4 linked regions of the Coturnix japonica genome follow. The protein of the gene in region 1 interacts with the protein of each later gene in a pairwise test. Links are inferred from orthologs where the notes say so. Each region holds a gene or a part of one and is shown on either strand. Other genes may lie near its edges. The genes, in order: RALGDS, RAP1A, RAP1B and RRAS2.

Region 1 (5,045 bases):
TGACTTCTGCTCCTGTCCCAGCAGTTCGAGAACGAGTCAGCCTTAAACCTCTATGAGACGTGTAAGGTGCGGACGATAAAAGCTGGGACCTTGGAGAAGCTGGTGGAGTACCTGGTTTCAGCCTTCAAGGGCAATGATTCCACCTATGTCACCATTTTCCTGTGCACTTACCGGGCCTTTGCCACCACCAAGCAAGTGCTGGACCTGCTGCTTAACAGGTGAGGTGTCCGTGCCCCAAAATGCAGATAGAAGTGGCTGATGTCTGAGCATCCTCAGCCAGGAGAGCTCCAGCATCTTATGTCATGTCTTGGAGGTCTGATGGGCTTCTCCCATCCCCCTCAGGTATGGCAAACTGCACGTGCAGACAAACGGGGACCACGCCAGGCACGTTGTGGATGAGAGGATGGAGCTGAAGAAGTAAGTCTGACCATACTGGGGGTGACTGCTGTTCAGTTCTCGCATGGAGGCATGTGCTGTCCTATATGTTTCTCATGACCTCACCCAGCTCTCCCCTCTGTTCCTTTCCCCATAGCACCATCTCCTCCATCCTGGGCGCCTGGTTGGACCAGTACTCAGAGGACTTCCGTAAACCCCCAGACTTTGCCTGCCTCAAGCAGCTCATCTCCTACGTGCGCCATAACATCCCTGGTTCAGACCTGGAGCGCAGAGCCCGCATCCTCCTGGCCCAGTTTCAGCAGCAGGAGCAGAGCGAGACTGAAGCAGAAGGTGGGGATGGTTCCCTGCTCATGGGGATATCAGGGTCTGTAAGGAGCTTCAGGTGTTACCACGTGGCTGGATGTGGAGGTACACAGGGAAGCTAATCCAGCTGAGATAGAAGTGGGATTTCTAAGTGGATTGGTTAATCTGCCTTTAATCCTCTGCAGACACTTGCATCCGGGTTAAATACGCCTGTGTGTTTATCTGAGCCTTATGCTGAGGTGTGAAAGCAGAGCTGCTGGAGGTGGGATGTGGTGTGGGATGCAGTGGGGTTCTGTGCTGCAGGGCTCAGCTTTGTGCCATCTTCACAGCTGTGGATCACGGTGGCTGCACGTTCCAGCTGGTGGAGGAGAACGGGGTCGGGGATGGGAAGTCAGATTTCCTCTCCTTCTCCCCTGAGATGGTGGCAGAGCAGTTCACACTCATGGATGCTGTGAGTACTCATTCAGCACAGGGTCAGTGCTGCTGCTCTGGGCACAAACCACTGTGTTCCCTCACACACCACTCCATCTTTTCCCCTAAGAGACCCATCCCATCCCTTTATCTTCCAGGAGCTGTTTAAGAAAGTGGTGCCTTACCACTGCTTGGGCTGCATCTGGTCCCAGCGAGACAAGAAAGGCAAAGAACACCTGGCACCCACCATCCGTGCCACTGTCTCGCAGTTCAATAGCGTGGCCAACTGTGTCATTGCCACGTGCCTCGGGGACCGGACCCTGAAGCCACAGCAGAGGGCTAAAGTGGTGGAGAGATGGATCGAAGTGGCTCGGGTAGGACAAGTGCAGCCCCATTCACTTTGCCCAGGGCTGGGGGTTTGTGGTGTACAAATCAAAGCAGATCCCTTGGCTTTGTTTAACATCAAGCCCTGCTGTCCCCTTTATCTGCTTTCAGGAGTGCCGCATCCTGAAGAACTTCTCCTCGCTCAGAGCCATCCTTTCAGCTCTGCAGTGCAACGCTGTGCACCGGCTGAAGAAGACCTGGGATGAGGTCCTGCGGTGAGCAGCACCTGGGGGTCCTGGGGGTGCTGGGTGGTCTCAGGGGGTGGCTGTGCTGGAGCTGTGGCCCTTCAGTGTATAGACAAGAGATGTGTAAATGGGATCATTGCGGCTCTGGCATTGCCCAAAGCCAAGGGATCTGAGGAGAGTGAGGAAACAAAGGCAGTACTGTCTGCTTCTCCTTTCCATCTGAACACCCTGGAATAACCCCAGTCAGCAAGGCCTGCTGCAGCTGTGAGCTTTGCTGGGGTCATTTGGGTGCGCAAGGAAGAGACCCAGTGTGGCACCATTGCTGACTTCCTTGTCTTTCCCCCCGAGCAGGGAGAGCTTCCGCACTTTCCATGAGCTCTCAGAGATCTTCTCCGATGAGAACAACCACTCCTTGAGCCGGGAGCTGCTCATTAAGGTATGGGGCACCTGCAAGTCCTGACAAGGAGCTTGGGCTGGTGTTGGCTGAAAAGGTCCCTGTTGTTCCATCTGCCAGGCAAACTGGGCATTCTGCTTTTCTACCCCAAAAGCTGTCATTGCATGAAGGTCTTAAAGCAGTTGAATGGGTAGAGATAAGCAGTGGGATATGGTCTGGTGCACCTGAGGATGGCCTTTAACCAGATGCAAAGTTCAGCTCTCCATAGGCCTCCTGGGTTAACATGGGGCAGTGGGGTTTGGGAAAGGCTGAAGCCAGGTGTCCTCACAGCTTTCCAGCTCCAGACTGGGGGCTGAGATCACATGAAATACAAAAGGGAACAAAACAGCCCATTGAAGAGCTATTTATACAGAGAGCTGGAAATGGGAGCAGCACTTCCTATTCATTAAGCCTCTCCTCCCTGTTTAGCCCTGAAAAAGCTCAGCTTAGATTTCCTTCTCTTCCCCTCATTCCCTCTGCGAGGAAATGGCAGCAATAAAAGTGGCTGTGAATTTTAGCTCACGTTTTCCACTGGTGCTGATGTTGTCTCTCCCCACCATCCAGGAGGGCACGTCCAAATTTGCCACCTTGGAGATTAACCCAAAGAGGGCCCAGAAGCGGCAGCAGCAGCAGCGAGAGATGGTGAGTGGGTGTTTTCACATCCCCATATCCCTGCTGGGTGGCTTCCAGCTTTCTGCTGACCTCAGCCGTCCCTCCCTGTCCCCCAGGGTGTGATGCAGGGCACTATTCCCTATCTCGGCACCTTCCTCACGGACCTGGTGATGCTCGACACCGCCATGAAGGATTTCCTGGATGTACGTACCTCCATCTCCATCCTCCTCCTTTCCTTCGTGCTTAGACATCCCCATAGCCTGGCAGTTCAGTGTGGAGGGTTGATCCCCAGAGCACTTGTTGCTGTCCCTTTGGGCATCCCATAGCCAACACTGCCACCCTATGCATCCCATAGCCAACGTTGTCCCTATGCATCCCATAGCCAGTGTTGTCCCTATGCATCCCATAGCCAATGTTGTCCCTATGCATCCCATAGCCAACGTTGTCCCTGTGCATCCCATAGCCAACGTTGTCCCTGTGCATCCCATAGCCAACACTGCCACCCTATGCATCCCATACACACCCCGGCAGGCTCTGTCAATGGGCCGCTCTTACAGCGCCCCCTGGTGGGCATGGCGTGCACTGCAGCCGGAGCGGAGCTTTGTCCCTCCCTGTCCCTGCTTCCCGCTGACACCCTTCTTTTCTTCTCCTTCTTTTGCAGGGAGGGCTGATCAACTTTGAGAAGAGAAGGAAGGTGAGAGTTTGCACGGCTGGGTGGTGGGAGGTGGCTGGCGTTGTGCGAGCCCAGGCTCTGCCAATCTCTTTGGGAGGAGATTCTGGTCCTTCCTAGGCACCTTGGTGCATTGGGTTGGGCTGTTTGCAGAGGGTTGTGGGGCTGTGGACAGAAAGGGGTCATGACCATCTCTGTTGGATGCAGGAGTTTGAAGTCATTGCCCAGATCAAGCTGCTTCAGTCAGCCTGCAACAACTACAGCTTCACTCAGGAGGACCATTTTGTGGACTGGTTCCATAGCCTGGAGCGGCTCAGTGAGGCCGAGAGGTGAGTGCAAGCAGGGCTGTGCTGCTGCTGGTGCATTGGAAAGCTACAGGGAGCTCTGAAACCTTTATCTCTCCCCCAGCTATGGGCTGTCATGTGAGATTGAGCCACTGTCCGAGTCAGCCAGCAACACACTGAAGGCAAAGAAGAACACAGGAATCATCAAGAGATGGAGCGAGTGAGTCTGTTTGCCCCAGTGGGACCCAGTTGGAGACAAGGGTCAGTGCCATCATGTCCTTCCCTGGGCCTGCTCTCTTCTTACCCTCTCCTATCTCCCTGCAGCCGGCAGCCAGCCAGCACTGAGCCCTGTGCCAGTGGCAGTTCCCACTCCAAGTCCTTTGACCAGCTCAAGTGCGGGCAGTACCTGTGCAGTGGGGATGCCACTGACTCAGTCAGTGTCACCTCTGCTGGTTCCAGCAGCTCTGATGTGGAGGAGATCAACATCAGCTTCATCCCTGAGTCCCCCGACTGCCAGGAGAAGAAGGTATGGGGCAGCTTGTGGGGCTCCTGAAGCAGGTGCTCCCCTCAAGAGGGAATGGCCCCTGCTTTGCATGGGGGCTGGGGAGCTGGGGGCTGCTTCTGCCCTGCTGGAGCGAGGGAGGCCCCTGCTCTTTGTGGTGGAGCTGGGCTTGCCTTGGCACAGCAGGGTCTGGCAGCTCTGGTGGCTGTACGTCCCCTGCTGGCGCAGGGCAATGAGATCCCTCTGGCCTCCCTCCCCCAGCACTCGTACACCCCGTCTGTGGCTGATGGAGAAGCTAAACCCACTGTGTCCTCCGCATCCCCTCTCCTCCCTGCCCTCCAGTTCTGGGAATCCACCTCTCTCTCCTCCCTGGACACGTCAGGCATCGGCTCAGGCTCCAGCAGTGCCTCATCATCCTCCGTCTCCTCTACACCAGTGACAGCATCCCGCACTCACAAACGCTCCGTCTCCGGCATCTCCAGCTACTCGTCTCTCTCGCTGCCCCTTTACAACCAGCAGGTGGACGACTGCTGTATCATCCGTGTCAGCCTGGCTGTGGACAACGGCAACATGTACAAGAGCATCTTGGTTAGCACCCAGCACCCACATCAATTTCAGGGTTGGGAGGCTTGTCATGCTTGGATGCGGGCATGTCTGACACTGAGAGGACATGGAGGTGGGAGATGTTACGCTGTTTTGTGCAGTATGGTGGTTAACAGTGCTGTGTGCTCATAGGTGACCAGCCAGGATAAGACACCGGTCGTTATTCGCAAGGCCATGGCCAAACACAACTTGGATGGGGACCGGCCTGAAGACTACGAGCTCGTTCAGATCATCTCAGAGGAGAGAGGTGTGTATGGGGGGT
Region 2 (4,916 bases), on another chromosome or scaffold:
GTGGCTCAAGAAATGACAGACTGCACAACATTTAATTGACATTACCACTAATTGATGTCATTTCTCCCCACCTGAACTTTCTCAGCAGCGATTTGATGCTGCTCCTTGTTTGGTGAAGTGCTTATTGGTTAAGTGTTACCATCACAATCCGTTTGCTTACCTGATTTTTGTTCCATCTCTTTTCTCCCCAGACTGTACAGTTTGTTCAGGGAATTTTTGTTGAAAAATATGACCCAACAATAGAAGATTCATACAGAAAGGTAAAGTAGTGGCGTTTCTGTTCCTTTCACATCTCACACTGCTCACTGCTTTTTAATAATGCTATTAAAGCCTATCAGACCGAGCCAGGTGTGTATCTGAGAGCATCATGGAGCCATAAAACTACAGATAGTTTCCTTTGGCTTTGCAGAATACTTCACAAACTTGAGGCTTCTGGCCAACCCAATGGCATGAGCTGCTGTATAGCTGAATAATAAGAAAAGGGCCAATGGTGCTGTTAAATTGGCTGTTTTTACCTCTATTTAATAGGAGAACTTAACCTCTGTTGCTCGCACAACTTTTAGATCTCTGATGTCTTTGTTGCTTTCTCTTGGTGTTATTCTGCTTAGTTTGAAGGCACATACAAAGTCTCTGCAGCTGCTTTGCACGCAGGGCTGAGCAGAAGTCCTTGTCAGGATCCCTGACCCTGGTGTTATGCAGCTCTATTAACAGTGCTGCTTTCTTCTCTGGGATTGATGTCAAGGAACCCATTGTTTAGCAGATTAGCATAATTGTTGCCATAATTAAAGACACCAAAACAGAAAACAAAACTTGCAGCCTTCATGCCTGCAATAATTAAGCATAAATTCTGAGCTCTGCTGTTAAGATTTATTCAGCTTTCGTAGAATTACCCACGGGGAGTCAGAGGCATTTCTTAGATGGTGAAAGGTTTGATAGGCCTGAGCGTGAGCAGAGGTACAAGGGAGCTGCCCCATGTGCCAGCTGGGGGTGTCACTGAGCTCTGATAGCAGAGCCTCTCATGGTGCTGGGAAGGTGCTGTACTGCAGAACTCTCTGTTGCAGAAGTGAAAAATGAAGCTGAGATTCCTCTCTTCTGCCTCATTTTGGAGGCTTTACTTTTAACTGTTTCTTTCTCTTTTTCCCCAGCAAGTGGAGGTAGACTGTCAACAGTGTATGCTTGAAATCCTGGATACAGCAGGGACAGTAAGTGTAACCCCTTTTTCTAATTGGCACCTCCTTATCTCCATACAGCAAAGCTATTCCATCACAAACATCCATCAGCTGCATTAATGCCATTCCTTTTTCCTTGACTCCAGGAGCAATTCACAGCAATGAGGGATCTCTATATGAAGAACGGCCAAGGGTTTGCACTAGTATATTCAATAACAGCACAGTCCACGTTTAACGACCTACAGGACCTACGGGAACAGATCTTACGGGTGAAGGACACTGAAGATGTAAGTACAACATTGTCTGGTTTTGTAAATGAATAGCATATCTTCCGAATGAAGCACGTGGAAATTTGTACGTGAGCAGAATGTCTTTCTAGGAATACTCATTGCTGCACAGCCAAGTTTTGTGCTGGAGTTCCCTCTGCAGTGTTTGTGACATTAAAAACAACATCTCGAGTTTGCTGGAAAGCTGACAGTCTGGATGGGGAGTGATAGCAAAATGGTGGGAGTCTTTTTTAGTGTTGGTGTTTTCCTCTTTCACTGTGCATTAGCAGGACTTCATTTCCTTCAGACTAAAGAGAAATCACTGTTACATTTGCCAATAATGATTCAGTCACTAAAATGGATTTATGGTGTTGTGCCAGGGGGTGGCACATAGAATCATAGAATGGCCTGGGTTGAAAAGGACCACAATAATCATCTGGTTTCATGCCCCTGCTGTGTGCAGGGTTGCCAACCACCAAACCAGGCTGCCCAGAGCCACATCCAGCCTATTTGTTCAACCCAAGGCTCAGAACCTCTTCAACTTTCATGCTCAGTTTTGGGCTTCCATTTTTAAGTTTCAGGGCACAGCTTTTAACATCCCAGCACTTAAACCATTAACCTTAGTCTGTGTTTAAATCCAGTCTTCACATGACACAGGAAGTGATAGAGCAAGTTGTTCTACTTCCCTTTTCTGCTCCACATTGATTACTGTATCCTGAAATAACCTTATAAAAAGTTTGGAATCTTTCAAACCTGTCCCATTAATCAACTAAGTAGCACTTTTTTTTCCCCCCTATCATTTCTCATTTTCATTTCCTTCTTTTATTTGCTGAACATGTTCAGAAGGAGAGAGTGTAAGAGAGAGCATTGGGCTGAGATGGTTGTGAATCATAGAAGGGTTTGGGTTGGAAGGGACCTGCAAGGTCATCTGTTCCCAACCCCCTGTTACAGGCAGAGACACTTCCATTAGCCCAGGTTTCTCGCTGCCCCCATCCAGCCTGGCCTTAATGTGAAATGATCTTTTGAGGGGGGTTTTGTGCCTTCAGCTTTCTGATGTAAGAAGTAAAATTTACTTCTTAAGCATAAAAGTGCCGTCGTTTTCTGCTCAATACGGCTGTTTTAAAGACAAAAATTAATCTTGAGTGCAGCTGAATGAGAGGGAGAGACTGCAAATACTTTCAAGTGGATTAGAAAGCGTATAGTGTGTTGGAAATTATCAAAGGAAGTGGATGGTGATTTATTTCCCAGCTGGAGAGTACTCATTTTCTGCTCAAAGAATGAAATGCTTCAGGAAATGGAGCGAGGCACACACCCACCAGCAGCAGCTCTTTGGGTTTGGGGTTTTTTCTACGTGTGTATAGCAAAGGGAAACAGCTGCTGAAGGAGAGGGGCTGACGGCCATCACTGTGCTGTGGAGCAAATGACTTCTTGTGTCTGCATTGTGGATATAGGCTGAATACACTGAAAATGCACCAAATGTGTATTTTAATGTGGCATTTATTGGAAGCTCCTTTTGGGAGCTGAGCTGCCAAGGGCTCGTTAATTAGAAACTTCAGTTATTATCAGCGAGTCATTATTAATGATGGTTTCAGTGCTATTTGTAGTGAATGCCCTTTTATCTGTGCATAAAATACATCAGTGATGCAATATGCACTGTGATGTGATGGGCAGATGGCCGTGTGCTGGGGCTCTGGGACCACATAGCTGCATTTCATTGACAGCACTGCTTGGGCAGTAGGTGTTGTATATTATGTTGCTGACACATCTCGTCCTCTTGCTCATCCCTTCTCCAGGTTCCAATGATTCTGGTTGGCAATAAATGTGACCTGGAGGAAGAACGTGTAGTCGGCAAAGAACAGGGTCAAAACTTAGCAAGACAGTGGTGTAACTGTGCCTTTCTAGAATCGTCTGCAAAGTCTAAAATCAATGTTAATGAGGTAAGTATGAGCTGCACCTTGTCTTTCTCACTTCTACATGAATGCCTTGTAGAGTAGAATCATAGAATTGCTCAGGTTGGAAAAGACCTTAAAGATCATTGAGTCCAACCACAACCTGACCATACTATTCTAACAGCCCTCTGCTAAATCACGGCCCTGAGCACCACATCCAGATGGTTTTTAAACACCTCCAGGGAGCATGGATAGCAGAGGGTCCCGAGTGACCTGGATGACTCTTAGATAAACTTCTACACGTTTTAAAGATAACAACTGCTGCTATTCTGAATGTGGATATGCCCCACTGTATCACTTGTCGTGTTGCATAGTATTGGCTGTTGGTTTTGAAAGTATTTGCTTTTCACATTCCTGCTACATCTGGCTGCTCAAGCAGACATCCCATCACAGTTCCTCCTCTGGTAAGCCACTGATTTACTGAGCCCATTTCCAAACATGGATCTATCTGCACAGTTTTCCTTGTTTAAATGAGAACCACCTCTGCACGTTGGTGTGCCCAGCGTCGCGTGGCTCTTGCCATCCAGCACTGAGGTTTTATTCTCCCTTGTGAGCTATCTGACAGGGCCGGGGGCCAGCTTTCCATTCACAAATGCTAAGGTGACCCCATTGAGCAGAGCAGCTTTGGTGCCAGGAGATAACTGGGACCATTTAGGAGCCTGAGATAAGGAGAAGCAGTGGGTTTTGGCCCAGACCCAGCATCCTTCTGGCAGCCAGTGTGCCATGCCCAGTGCTGCAGGGATGGGGCTGCAGGGACCTCATCTGCCAGCAGAGAGATGTTGTGTCCTTTGCCACATGTTGCTCCAGCACGTGGTGGTTTCCTTTGTACAGCCTTGGCTCTTGCTTGTAAAGGCTTAAAGATGGAAAAGCTGTTCTGCATCAGAATAGAAAATGCTTCTTATTGGTTGGTTTCTCCTACAGGAACCTTTCCTTTATGTGTCATCTGTACTTTTAGCATCTGGGTGTGAACTGCTCCTGCTACCTGGATCTTGCATCTTAGCAAAGGATATGCAGGAGTAGCTCAGGTGCGCTTCATTACACCAGAACCCAATGAAGGCAGCGTGGGTTCATTCTGTTTGGAGCAATAGAACTTGGTACTTGTGCTTTCATGCACATACAAGGCAGAAAATGTGAAATATCCAGGCATTGAAATCTGTTCCAACCTGTTTCTTTGTCTTTTGGATTTCCTTGGAATCAACCAGAATTTGTGAGCAATCAGCAGCTCCAGGAAGGAAGGAAATGAGGAAGAAGGGTGGGGCTTTCTGGAGGTCAAAGTAGTTCTGTTCAGTACCACGACCCAACTCCATGCAAGTTTGCAAAGCTCCTTTTGCTAGGAATGGGTATTAATGGTAAAACAAATGGCAGCAAAAAGTGTTCATAAGAAGTTTGTTGCTGAAGTGAGAAGAGGTCTCTGTGGTCGTCCCCTTCTGGAAGAGTCTCCTTCAGAGCAGATGATTTGTTTTTCCTTGCTGATATTATTAATACATTCAGATAGGTCAGCACCAAAGGCACATGAGATCATCAAATGAGAT
Region 3 (5,795 bases), on another chromosome or scaffold:
GGCAGCCCCATTCAGCTGCTCTGTCAAGAAATGACTTGTGCCACCCAGTCTCTGACTTTCTCCAAACTCTGCCTGCCTACAGCAAGCAAAGTATCACAGACTTTTAAGAACATAACTTTTACTGTGCCTATCCCGCTCAGTTTTCTTATGTTTGACAGGCCCTGAGACAAAACTGATACATCAGACACATCCAGTGAGATGCTCAAGCTCTCCCACACCCAATCACTGAATAATTATGAGAGCCGTCAACTACTAAGCAGGTCCCCTATTCAAAAAGAAGGCCTTCCCCTTTTCCTGCTTTTTATGATGGAAACAGACCACCTCAACCATGTATGAGCAGGAAAACAATGTCTGCCTTCAAACGGTATCATGTAGTTTCTGTAGATACTCTCCATCTCTTCAAAGGAGGAGGCTGACTAAAAAATCCCTCCACCTGACCTAGATGCAACAAAGCACGGCAGAAACCTGCCCCAACTCAGCAGGGACTCAACACACCGATAATATACGGACTACTTCAGTCTGCTTTGGCGCTTGTTCTGAGGCAGAAGAGTGGCACCGCTTCCAACCACAAGCTAAATATAAACTTTTGTTGCACGGGGAATACTTAGTGTTCTGTTTACTGAAGAAGTAATTTTGATTAAAACTCATAAAAAGCTTGAGAGAAATTGCAGAACGTGCTCTGAAGAATTAGAGCACTCTTAGAAGCCAGCGAGGTATCTGAAGGTCACCTCAGCATCACTGGGCAATTCTCAGAGCACCCACTCTTACCACACACCCCAGAAGTGCTTTGAGCTAAATAACATCCTTGCTCCCACGAGCAGCTCTCTGAACAGCCAGCAGCGCTCTATGACAACAGGGTTCACACCACAGCAGTGAAGTGCTGAGCACCCGAGTACTTCTGTGACTCCTGCACTTCTCATGTTGCAGATGATAGGTGGACAGCCTTTTATTTTAGCTCCCACGCTTACTGAGTGCTAGATCACAAGCTAAGTCGTCTTCAGCACACTTCCTTCCTCAGGAATTTCTTCCTCCTTTTGGAGGCTCTCACCTAGATTCCCATCTGCTTCTGTTCCAGAAAGGCGCTCAATTAAAAAGTCAGTCGGTTGCGCTCTGCAAAACTAGCACAGCACAAAGAAAGCTGTCATGGCTCGTCTGACATTTATTTTTGATGAACTGCCCTGCACAACAACTTGAGAACAAAAATCACAGAGTTTTAATACTGCTCAGAAAATTAACCCGAGGAAGGTATATAGTAACAGAAGCAAGACGCCCAATTACAAGCAGCACAAAAGACCGTTTGTCTTTTTCATACACAAGTTCTGTTTTTAAGCTTACAGTCTTTCAACTCTGTTTTGCACATTACAGCACCCCCAGGCAGGCAGGTGCTTCGAGCACCATCAGCTTTGCTAAAAAGAAAAGCAAAAAAAGGAAACCCACAAAAAATCAAATACATGACGTGACCTTTATAGCACACGGAGCAACTCAGAGAACTGCAAAGCCTTATACTATAGTTGCAAGCTCAACTTTAAGCAGTTCATTCCAGTATGTGGAACATCTCTGAAATGCACAGGTAACAGGGAAAGAACACTGCGTGTTATTATTTAGGAAGTTTATTTGCAAAGCCTTTGATGTGAGCAACTGAGGCATCCTTCACTACACACTCAGCCCATTTTTAGGCCGAGCGAAGTCTGCAGCACAGACTTGGGAGTGAGATGGGAGTAATGAATAAAGCAAAACCTCTTGAGTGTTCTAGAAATTAACTTCTGTTTTCCAAAAGCTTGAGATTTCAGTACAGATAAAAGGCCAAAAAGCAGACCGCTGGACTGCTTTCTCAAGTCTTCTGCAAAGCACTTTCAAAACGGAAATAAATTTATCTCTGAACGATTACTAACATAAAATGAGATGATTGCTGCTTTGCCTTTTAATTCTAATTTATTAGGGGGGGGGGGGGGAAGTGCATTTCATTCCTTCTTTTCTGTAACAGTGATTTCAGTGCACATTTTGCCACAAAAGAGTGCTGAAGAGTCATTGCCATTCTCCGTCTACGTACTTCGTATTAGGATAAAATATAGCTGCTATGTGCTGGAAATAACAAGTCCCACTAATGAAAACATCTAAATGCAGGAACACATGCAGAAACCGCAATTTTCAAGCTGAGCATCTCTGAAATATCCTTTTTATTGGAGCTGCAGCACCCTGTCACACCCCAAGGATGACTTGTACTGCTTGGAGGGGGAACAAGCTCCAGACAGAAGGGCAGATAGAGCACACTGATGGCTTCTGCAGGAGCCTGGCTGCGCTATACCCTCTTTTTGTTATCCGAGGACAGCGCAAAACACTCTGATTTCATTTCATCCCTCTGAAAACTTTACTTTCGCTTCTATTGGACATATATCTCGATGGGAGGATACATATATATATATTTTGGGGGGTTGGGGGGGATGTGGAGGTGGGGGTGTGCGTTCCGCTGCCTCGGTGCAGGCAGCATCCCTCGAGCTCTTCCATTTGCTTCGCCGCCGGAGTTCAGACGTGCCGATGAACACCGCTGTCCCTTCCGGCCTGGGGCTTCTCGGCTCCCCTCCACCCTTGGTGCTTTCTGTTGTTCACTGGGGCAGTTCCCGCTGACCGCTCCTCGCGGGGCCGCCCGCTGTGGCCGCACCCCCCGAGGCCGGGCGGGCCCCCCCCGGGCCCAGCGGCCGGAAGCGGCGGCGGGCGGCCGGACTAGGTGGGGCCCGGCTCGGACTTCCCGCTGACAACGGCGGCGGCTGCGGGGACCTGGTCCCCGGCCGGGCGGCACCCGCCCCTCCCTCGTCTCTCTTCCTCCCTCCCCGGCGGCCCCGAGCCGCGGGGTTACAACTTTCCGCTTCCGCTCCAACTTCTGCGGCGGGCAGCGGGCGGTATGGCCGGGCCCCGCACTGCCCCGCGCCTCAGGCCGGGCGGCGGCGACTCCTCCTCCGCCATGTTCCAGGCTCCTGCCCCTTCCCTCTCGTCGCGCCGCTCCCCGTCTCACACCCTCCCCCTCCTCCTCTCCCACCTCACCCCACCGCCACCCCCCACGGGCCCGGCCGGCGCCCTCGTTCCTACCGGACAGCGCCTCCGCTCCCCGCCGCCGCCGCCTCGCCGGCCGAGCCCGCTGCGCTCCGCCCGCTGCCGCTCGCTGCTGTGCTGGGGCGCGGCTTGGGGCCGTCGCCGTGACGCCGCACGCCCAGCCTCGCTCTGGCGCGGCGGGGGCGGGGGCGGTGCGGAGGGGTGGGCTGACCCCAGCGCCGCGCCCCCAGCGCGCAGGCGCGGGGCCCTCCCCAGCCCCTTCCCTCCTGCCCCCGCCCGCTTGGCCCCCCTTGCCCTGAGGGGCGGCCCGGCACCGGGCGACGGGGTGTGTTCGGCCTCGGGCGGCAATGGGCTGACTGCGAGCCGCTGTGGGGCTGTCTCCCCGCGGCATGAAGGGAACGAGGGGGCGGGGGAGGCCGGCCTGGGTGTGGCGGGTTGGGAGCTCGCATCCCCTGAGAGAGAGGGGATGTTGGTACCCGGGGATGCAGCGCCTGAACGGAATGAGCCTGGGCCTCCCAGCCGTGTCAGGGGAGGTTCCGAAGCTTCGCACTCGTGGCGAAGGGTTCTGAGATCCGTGGACTTTGGAAATGTGGCACTCTGCTATAGGCTGTTACTCCATGGGCTGCTACACCTCTGGGTGCCCTCATCAGCCCCACACGTACAATATGTTACATCCTGCACATACACTCTCCATCCTTTCTTTTCTTTCACCATTAAATAACATAAGGCACTTTTAACTCTCCCTGAGCACCACTTTAATTTTTCCAGTCATAGTATCACAGTCTCATAGTCTCATAGTCTCGTGTGGGTTGGAAGGGACCTTAGAGATCAGGAAAAGAGTCCAGAAAAGTTTTCCAGTCGGAAAGAGTTTAACCGCCAGATGTTAGAAATAGCCGTTTCAGTGTGTGTGGGAAGTGAACAGTTAACGCAGTGAGCACAGATAAAACTTTTGCCAGAGGAAGCGGCGTGGTGTGCAGGGCTGACAGGAAGCTGCAGCAAGGGGAGTGGGTGTGGAGGAAGCAGGGCCGCTCCGTTTGTGGCACAGAGATAGAAAAGGGGAAAAAGCGATGACATTTCCCCCCCGTTACACGATGGAGAGGGCCTGGCTAAAATGGGAGACACACAGCGTGGGGTGGGTGTGTGGGAGAAGCTGGAGGTCGGAGCCAATGGAGCCAGAGCAGCCACTGGGATGTGCTGCCTTGGTAGGAGCAGCTTTGTCGAGGCTCACAGCACCAAGAAAGTGACACGTTTCTTTTAATTCCTAGATGTCATAAATTCTCTTCCGAAGTCCAGACAAATCTCTTGGTGTTGTGCAGCTTAAGCCCGCATGCAGTACTTTGATAATGAATCCCCGTAAATGATGGATAATACACGAGAGCTGATGCTGCGAGAAGCCGAGTGTGCAGAAATGCAGTTGGTTTTCAGCAGGGCATCCGTTGTGGGGCAGAGATGTTGAAATAGATGGTGTCTGTCTAAACTGTGAACCAGAAGAACATCTCTTGGGTTGGCTGGGAAGTTTATGTACTCACCAAACAGAAGCAACATCGGTTTCTTCAGACTTCTTTGTCACTAGATGTTATTATCAGCTCCCAGCAATAATCATTGACACCAATAAAAAGAACAAACAGGAAGATGTATCCTCTGCTCTCCCAACTTTTGTTGGTGACCTAGATTAATCCCAAATAACAAGCAGTGTTCAGAGAGCAGATGAGTGCCATTGCCAAAGTAATACTTTGCAGTGTGCCTTTAATTGCCCTGTGCCTTACAGGCAGTGTGGTAAGTATTGTTCTTCGCTGTGCAACAAGAAAACAGGAAGGGGCCTCTGGGAGTTGGATGAGTCTCCTGCAAGCAGGTCTTGGTGTCTGGGTTTCACAGGGGAATCTGAAACTCATTATGTTAGAATAAGTGTATATATACATATATACACATATGGATTACTTAGAGCAGGCATACTTGAAAATTGAACACTGTAACTAGAAGAAATACGCAGTTAAGATCCACTCTGAGTGAGAGAGGCCGAGAATTCCTTTTTCCTAACTGTCTGGACTGCGTATTTTGCATGTAAATCAGGCTCTTAAGTTTGGATTTTCCTATGAATTGTTTGGTTAATCCTCAGCACAACCCTTAAACTGGCTTTACTCATATCAGTGTGGCTGTGAATAGAAACTGGGTATCCAGCTTATTGTGCTTCAGGTGTGCCTGAGCCCCTCACAAGAGTTACTCCAGTGTCTGCAGCAGTGTGAGGCTCCCATGTGGCACATCAGGTCTTCAAGGAACTGGAAACATGGGGGATATGGGGCTAAAATGCTGTTGGGTTGACTAACAGCAGCACAGCCACATCACATCAGCTTTCCTGCTTGGCTGGCCTACTTGTTCCCAGCATCATTCTGTGTTTTTCCAAAGATGCATGGCAAATGCTTAGGTTGCACACTCACCAAACAACAACAAAACAATCGAGAACCTGCCGATGCCCATAAACCTGAGTGACAAGTCGATCCTTGGCACGCTGTACCACTTGACCTCTGTCAAGTAACTTTGCCTCCCTATTTGCCAGTTGCCTGCCTGTACTTCGTAAACCTCTTGTGTCAATGAGTGGTGCTTACGGGATGTCCATATTGCTCATCACCAACACAGAGAGCTGTCTGATAATGTCATGGCTGCTGGGAGGAACGGCTGCAAGGCAGCACAGGAGAACCTCTCTGCTGGAAGAAGAATATGAAAACACATCTTGTTAAAGATCCTGTGGA
Region 4 (5,684 bases), on another chromosome or scaffold:
TTCTGGTCAAGAAAATCCAGATGTGGCTTGTGGTTTGTGTTTTGTTGCCCCTGAGATGCACTCACCTGCTGTCCCAGGACACTGGACATTGGTGCCGCGATGCCAGAGTGGACTGATAAGCAAGAAGATGATTTCTCTATTGGGTATAGCACACCTGAATTTCTAAAGTAACCATAATCATAACAATGTTTTTTTTTAATATACTTGGAAAAAAACAATTGCACATTTCATTCTGGATTAGGTTTTCCATTCTCATCCCAAAGAAAAGCAATTTGTTGTGTTTTATTTCCCCCCCCCAGCTTCTTGTTTCACAGCTGTGAGAAGCCCATCTCCTCCGATCATGTTCTTGGTGGGAACTGCAACATGCATGTTCCTGGGGGTCATGGCATCTGTAAAGTGATGCTCGTTGCACTTGTGTAAGGTCAATACAGAAGTGCTGCCTTTGGGACTGTGTATAATGCTACATTCACAGGGAAACTTAGCGTTCCTGCAGAAATCTACCATGCTGACTCACATCCCAGAGATTTTGTAACTTGTTGCTGTGATAAGCCTGCGATCAGGCTCCTTTCTAATTAAGCAATCGTGTTCTCACAGAGCGCTTTTAGCTTCAATATGTTACTTACTGCATAGAAGTCTTCTAACCCTCAGCGCTGACATCTTTCCCAGGCTGCCAATGCAAAACAAAGTTCTGGATCTTCCCCCCAAGCACTTCCTGAAACCTTTTTTTTTTCCATCATTACATAAAGCACCGGGGTGCTCTCTCTTTTAAGCTTGCCATCTGGATGCTGCTCTTGATACTGTCTGTCTTCAAGCATGTATATTCAGGCTGGATCTGAAACGGTTCAGCCTCTTGTCATGTAACTGCTCTAAAAGTTGTACTTCTCAATCGCTGCACCAAAACTTTGGCCACTTTTTCACCATCTCACGTCTTGATGCTTTGAGTTGACCCGTTCTATGATAGAGGGGATGGTGAAGCACTGGCACAGCTGCCCAGAGAAGCTGTAGGTGCCCCATTCAGGAGTGCCAGCCTTAATGGGGCCCTGGGCAGCCTGAGCTGGTGGGAAGCAGCCCTGCCTATGGCTGGGAGTTGGAATTGGATGGGTTTAAAGCCCTTTCCAACCCAAGCCATGTTGTGTTTTTATGGTTTCCCAAACCCGGGCCTTGCTGCAAGAGTTGCTGGGTCTCTCCTGGGTGCTGTTTGGATACAGCTATCAGTCACACAAACTGTTCACCTGCTACTGCCCATCTCTTCTGTTATCTACTGCTTTATCTGTCAAACTGGGTAATGACCAACACAAAGAATTTAACGGTAACAGGTTTTCACAGTGGAGTCATTGTTAAAGCAATGGATGCCGGTGTTACTTGTTTTAAGCCTTCGATGTCCACTCTGATAACCTTCCTCTGAAGTGGAATTCAAATACTGGACGGCCTCAGCGGCTCCAGCAGCTCTTTGAAACAATGTATTTGAAACCGAAAGCTTAAAAGATAAGGTTAGAATAAGGCGTTCGCTTCTCTGTATCTTCACACCGAGGGAACCCGATACCCTGTTACAATAGTTTGCACAGAGACCGCTGAGCTCCCGGAACTCGGCGATGCCCTGAGCGGGGCTGGACGGTCACTGCGCTGACAGCTCCTCGCTGCATTTCTATTAAAAGCAGACAGACAGACAAACCAAACTTAGGACGGAGGAGAGCAGAGACGTCCAGCCGTGCCGAGAGCTCGGAGGCGGCCGTGACATCGGGGTGGTGACTCGGGGTAAGGGCAGCTCCGGGACACGCGGCTTCGAGGATCCCGCAGAGGGGCAGCCCGGCCTTACGGGACCGGGAGGGATCCTCCTGCGGCCGATGCCGCGCCCCCTCATGTATGTATTAGCGCTCATTAGCATGGCTGATGAGGCGGCCCCGCCCCCCGGCGGCCATTTGTAGCCGCGGCGCCGTGGCTGCGGGGGCGGGCGGTGCTCCGTTCGCTCGGCTCGGCGCTGCTCTTGTCGGCTCGGCGCTGCCGCACGGCGGGGCGCTCCGTTACTCGCGCTGTGCCGGCCACGCGTTCCGTGAGCGGCGGGGCCCGGGGCCGCTCGGAGCCGAGCGGGCGGCGGACGGCGGGGAGGGAAGGCGGCGGCGGAGGGCAGGGAGGCGCCGGACCTGGCGGCGCTGCCGCGCTCGGCTCCCCCAGGCTCCCCCATGGCCGCGGGCTGCAGGGACGGCCCGGGGCAGGAGAAGTACCGGCTGGTGGTGGTGGGCGGCGGCGGCGTGGGCAAGTCGGCGCTCACCATCCAGTTCATCCAGGTGAGGCGCGGCGCTGGGGCAGCCCGTCTCGCGGCGCCGGGGTGGTTCCGCTCCGCCCGGCCGCGGCGCCGGGGCCTGGGCGCTGCCCGGCGAGCGGAGCCGGGGGGGAGGAAGGCCCGGAGGCGCCCCGTGCTGCCGGCGGGAGGCGGCGGCGTGACCTTGGGGGGCCCCCCGGGAAGGCGCCGCGGGAGGGAAGGGGTGGCCGCCGCCTCCGGCCTGGCGCTGCCCGCGCCGTGCGGGTGGGGCGGCGCCGGGGTGCGAAGCGCGTCCCTGCGGGCGGCGGCGGGGCAGGGCAGGGTGAGCCGGGCGGCACGACTGCCTCGGTGCTGCTCTGCGGCTCCTGAAAGGCTACGGGGAAAGGTGCCTCGCGAGGGAGGGCCCTCGGTCTGCCCCTCTATCGTACCGCTTTAGCTTACCTCGGTGCCGTGCCTTCGGGCTGAGCTCGGGGCTCGCAGGTAGCTGCGGCTTCAAGAGCTTGGCTTCCTGGGAAGCTGTTGCGAACGGTGCGCTGAGATGGGACCGGCTGCTGTCTGCGCAGCTTTGTGCAGCAGTAGGTACCGCGTGTGGCCGAGCGGGTCCATCCCTGCTGCTGCTCTGGGGGCTGCTCGCTTCCTTGACCCACTGCAACTGGCTCGGAGCGCTGCTAACGCAACACGGTGTGGTCGCTTTGGATGGTGTTGCCTGGGTGTGCCTGTGGGTATCCGGGCTGGTGTGAGAGGAGCATGTGTGGCTGGAGGAGGCTGGAGGCCCGTTCTCCGGCGCCGCTGTCTTGGAAAGCGCTGCTGGATAGGTTTGTGGAGTCCCTGGCTGTAGTATGGCTTTTGGATAGTCATTTCTAGCATAGGAGGAGAGAAAGGTTCTGTGAAGTGCTGTATTAGTTTGCAGGCACGCGCACTGAAAGTTTATTAAAACAGAACTCAAGCTGCACACATATAGAAGTAAAAGCTTTGGCTCAAGAGCTGCTATCTGCACCCCTCTTCCAGAGGAAATCTGTGAATGGGGAGCCCGTGTCTGCCTTGTCCCATGTAAGGAACTCTATTAGCTGAGAAAGCGACGTTTAGCTTTAAAAGAGTGGTGTCAGAACAGCACTGTGGGGCTGAGCTGATGTGTTGAGAGTGAATTTTCCAAAACAGCTTATTGTCAGCTTGTATTACATTATCTGCATTGTTTTGCCCTCTCAGTTGCTTTATCTTGATGTGAAATCTTGCCACGGCAAAGTGATCTTTAGCAGAAAACTTGGCCTCTGAACAACCTGAGAAATAGCTGGAGAATAAAGACCCTCTCTGTGCAGAGCCTCAGGTGCCTTAGGGACTGGTGTCGTGTGTTTTCTGCAGTTGCTGCATTGCTATGGATGATAGGAAATAAAGCTTGATGTGTTGTTTCTTGGAGAGGATATTTTACTGAGCTCTTACACCTTGTGGTGGTGTCAAGTATGCCTGATGCCGTGCAGCCATCGCTGTCCTTCCTGCGCAGTAAATGTATTGCCAAACATGTTGTTTTCCTTTCAGGACTGTGTAGAAACTTTTCCAAATTGTTTTAAAATTGATTACAAGCGAGTCACATGCCTCATTGCTGGAATTTCTCAGGATTAAGTGGCAGACTCGTCATTGCCTCGCTACAACATGGCTCAGCGCTAGGTTTGGCCGCACGACAGGGCTTGATGTCACTGAGGGATTTTAGCTCTGTTTTGCATCGCTATTGCTCGTGATAAAGTGTGGTTGTCACCATCTCAGTTCTGAAGCTCTTAAGGAGGAACACTTCTTGTTGGTGAATAGTTCCCGCTTAGATTTGTTTCCCTGTGCTTAACTAGAAGTGCTTTGGGCAGTTGTGCTTCAGGGCTGGTTGCTTCCAGGTAAACAGGGCTGTTGTGCTCAGCTGTGGTGGGAAAGCACGTGTCCTGGTGTATGTTGCCTCCTTTGGAGGATTAAGGGGAGATCTGTATCTGAAAATAGGAAATGGTTTCCTTTGGTGAATGGTGAAATAAGTGAAGAGGAACCGAGGCTGCAGGCAGAACCAGCTGGGTGGCTCTCTGTCACCAGCCCTGGGATTTGCCTGCCTAGTGCATCCCTCCTGCATTGCTTAGTGCTTGTGGTGGTGGCATGGTGTGAGGTTGGGCCTTGTAGGGGCACTGGAGCCTCCTGTCCTGGGTGCAGCATCCTGCATGAGAGCATCGGTTCCTGGTGGTTGTTGTGCTCAAATTTGGGCTGAAACAGCACTGTTTTGGTCCTGCAGCCAAAGCTCTTCCACTGCATGTGAGCTGTTCAGAAGTTCCTCTTACTCTTGGAGAAGCTGTGGGGTGCACATTTGCAGATGAGGGCTGTCGGTGTGTGATGACTGGTGTGCGCCTCTCAGCCCTTCCTCTAGGGAGATAAACAGAGCTGGGTATTAGTGCTGGTGGGATGGGATTTCATCCTGGAAATTCACAATCATTTCCTCTAAATCAGGATGTGATATATGAACTTTCTGCTGTCCAGTCTGCGTGCTGTTAGGACAGGAAGTGGAGAAGTTGTAATTGTGGAGTAGATGGCCCCTGCCACAGTCATAAACCTTAGGAAAGCCCTGGTTAATGGTAGTTCAACTTCATGCCACAGTCTTTTAAATCTAAGTGCCGGAGCTAAACATTCCTACTCTTAGTTAAAAAATAAACAAATAATCCATCACACTGAGATCCCCAAAGAGGCAGAAGCCTTTCTTGCAGGCAGCTGAGGCATTTGGGAGCGTGAGCCGTGCAGGGCACACAGCTGTTGCTGCAATAGCTTCTCTCCAGCTGTCATGCAGAGGTCTGTCACAAAATACCCCACATTCCCTTCCAACTCAGCCCTTTGTAATATTCAGGTTTCCTTGCTTAAAGGGAGTGCAGCTCGCAAGTACTTAATCACCCTCTGCATACTTCTTAGCCTGCAGTTGCCATTTACTTCATGCTTTTTTTGGTTAGCTGGATCGCTGCACTGCTTGTTTCAGCAGCACACAGCAGGAATGCCACTGACGTTCTATGTGTCCAAGTATCTGCTCTGCGAAGCTGTGGCTGCCCTTGGTCAAAATTGTTAAAATAATTCATCATATTCTTCTTCCTTTTAGTAATGTTGAAGGTTTTGTTGTGTTTGTATGCTGAGCAGCCTCCAGTGGCTCCCAAGGGTGAATATCTCCAGAGAATGTGTTGGTTTAAAAACCTTGAGGTGGTGTTGACTGGATGCAGTTCCTTCAGTGTGGCAGAGCTCAGCTTGTCAGTCAACTTCATGCTAAATGTGGTAGTACAGGAATGTGTTTTAGGCTGCTGGAACAATTCATGCAACATAAAAAATATATGTGGGGATCCATTGACTGTTTTGTGTGTGTGTGTACTGACTTCATGCTGTATTTACAAGTGAAAATTTGCAGTAAGAATAATAGTAGGTTTCC

Evidence for each region.
Region 2: the proteins of RALGDS (region 1) and RAP1A interact in a two-hybrid assay, tested with the Homo sapiens proteins (3 studies listed by BioGRID and IntAct). The link is inferred for Coturnix japonica from reciprocal best matches to the Homo sapiens genes RALGDS and RAP1A.
Region 3: the proteins of RALGDS (region 1) and RAP1B interact in binary tests that used the Homo sapiens proteins (3 or more experiments, as listed by UniProt). The link is inferred for Coturnix japonica from reciprocal best matches to the Homo sapiens genes RALGDS and RAP1B.
Region 4: the proteins of RALGDS (region 1) and RRAS2 interact in a two-hybrid assay, tested with the Homo sapiens proteins (2 studies listed by BioGRID and IntAct). The link is inferred for Coturnix japonica from reciprocal best matches to the Homo sapiens genes RALGDS and RRAS2.

Annotation. Positions count from the first base shown.
Region 1 is NC_029532.1:5,335,671-5,340,715, reverse strand, and holds part of RALGDS (ral guanine nucleotide dissociation stimulator), read left to right. Parts: intron 1-21; coding exon of another isoform or gene 22-24; coding exon 25-218; intron 219-342; coding exon 343-417; intron 418-532; coding exon 533-726; intron 727-1,028; coding exon 1,029-1,150; intron 1,151-1,268; coding exon 1,269-1,484; intron 1,485-1,605; coding exon 1,606-1,709; intron 1,710-2,030; coding exon 2,031-2,115; intron 2,116-2,676; coding exon 2,677-2,754; intron 2,755-2,840; coding exon 2,841-2,927; intron 2,928-3,385; coding exon 3,386-3,418; intron 3,419-3,601; coding exon 3,602-3,723; intron 3,724-3,802; coding exon 3,803-3,898; intron 3,899-4,002; coding exon 4,003-4,204; intron 4,205-4,441; coding exon 4,442-4,768; intron 4,769-4,915; coding exon 4,916-5,030; intron 5,031-5,045. UniProt on the Homo sapiens protein: Functions as a guanine nucleotide exchange factor (GEF) activating either RalA or RalB GTPases and plays an important role in intracellular transport. Interacts and acts as an effector molecule for R-Ras, H-Ras, K-Ras, and Rap.
Region 2 is NC_029541.1:3,384,177-3,389,092, forward strand, and holds part of RAP1A (ras-related protein Rap-1A), read left to right. Parts: intron 1-191; coding exon 192-260; intron 261-1,145; coding exon 1,146-1,202; intron 1,203-1,315; coding exon 1,316-1,456; intron 1,457-3,228; coding exon 3,229-3,372; intron 3,373-4,916. UniProt on the Homo sapiens protein: Counteracts the mitogenic function of Ras, at least partly because it can interact with Ras GAPs and RAF in a competitive manner. Together with ITGB1BP1, regulates KRIT1 localization to microtubules and membranes.
Region 3 is NC_029516.1:31,952,603-31,958,397, reverse strand, and holds the start of RAP1B (ras-related protein Rap-1b), read right to left. Parts: upstream 3,210-5,795; 5' UTR 3,085-3,209; intron 1-3,084. UniProt on the Homo sapiens protein: GTP-binding protein that possesses intrinsic GTPase activity. Contributes to the polarizing activity of KRIT1 and CDH5 in the establishment and maintenance of correct endothelial cell polarity and vascular lumen.
Region 4 is NC_029520.1:14,531,325-14,537,008, reverse strand, and holds the start of RRAS2 (ras-related protein R-Ras2), read left to right. Parts: upstream 1-1,936; 5' UTR 1,937-2,180; coding exon 2,181-2,285; intron 2,286-5,684. UniProt on the Homo sapiens protein: GTP-binding protein with GTPase activity, involved in the regulation of MAPK signaling pathway and thereby controlling multiple cellular processes. Regulates craniofacial development.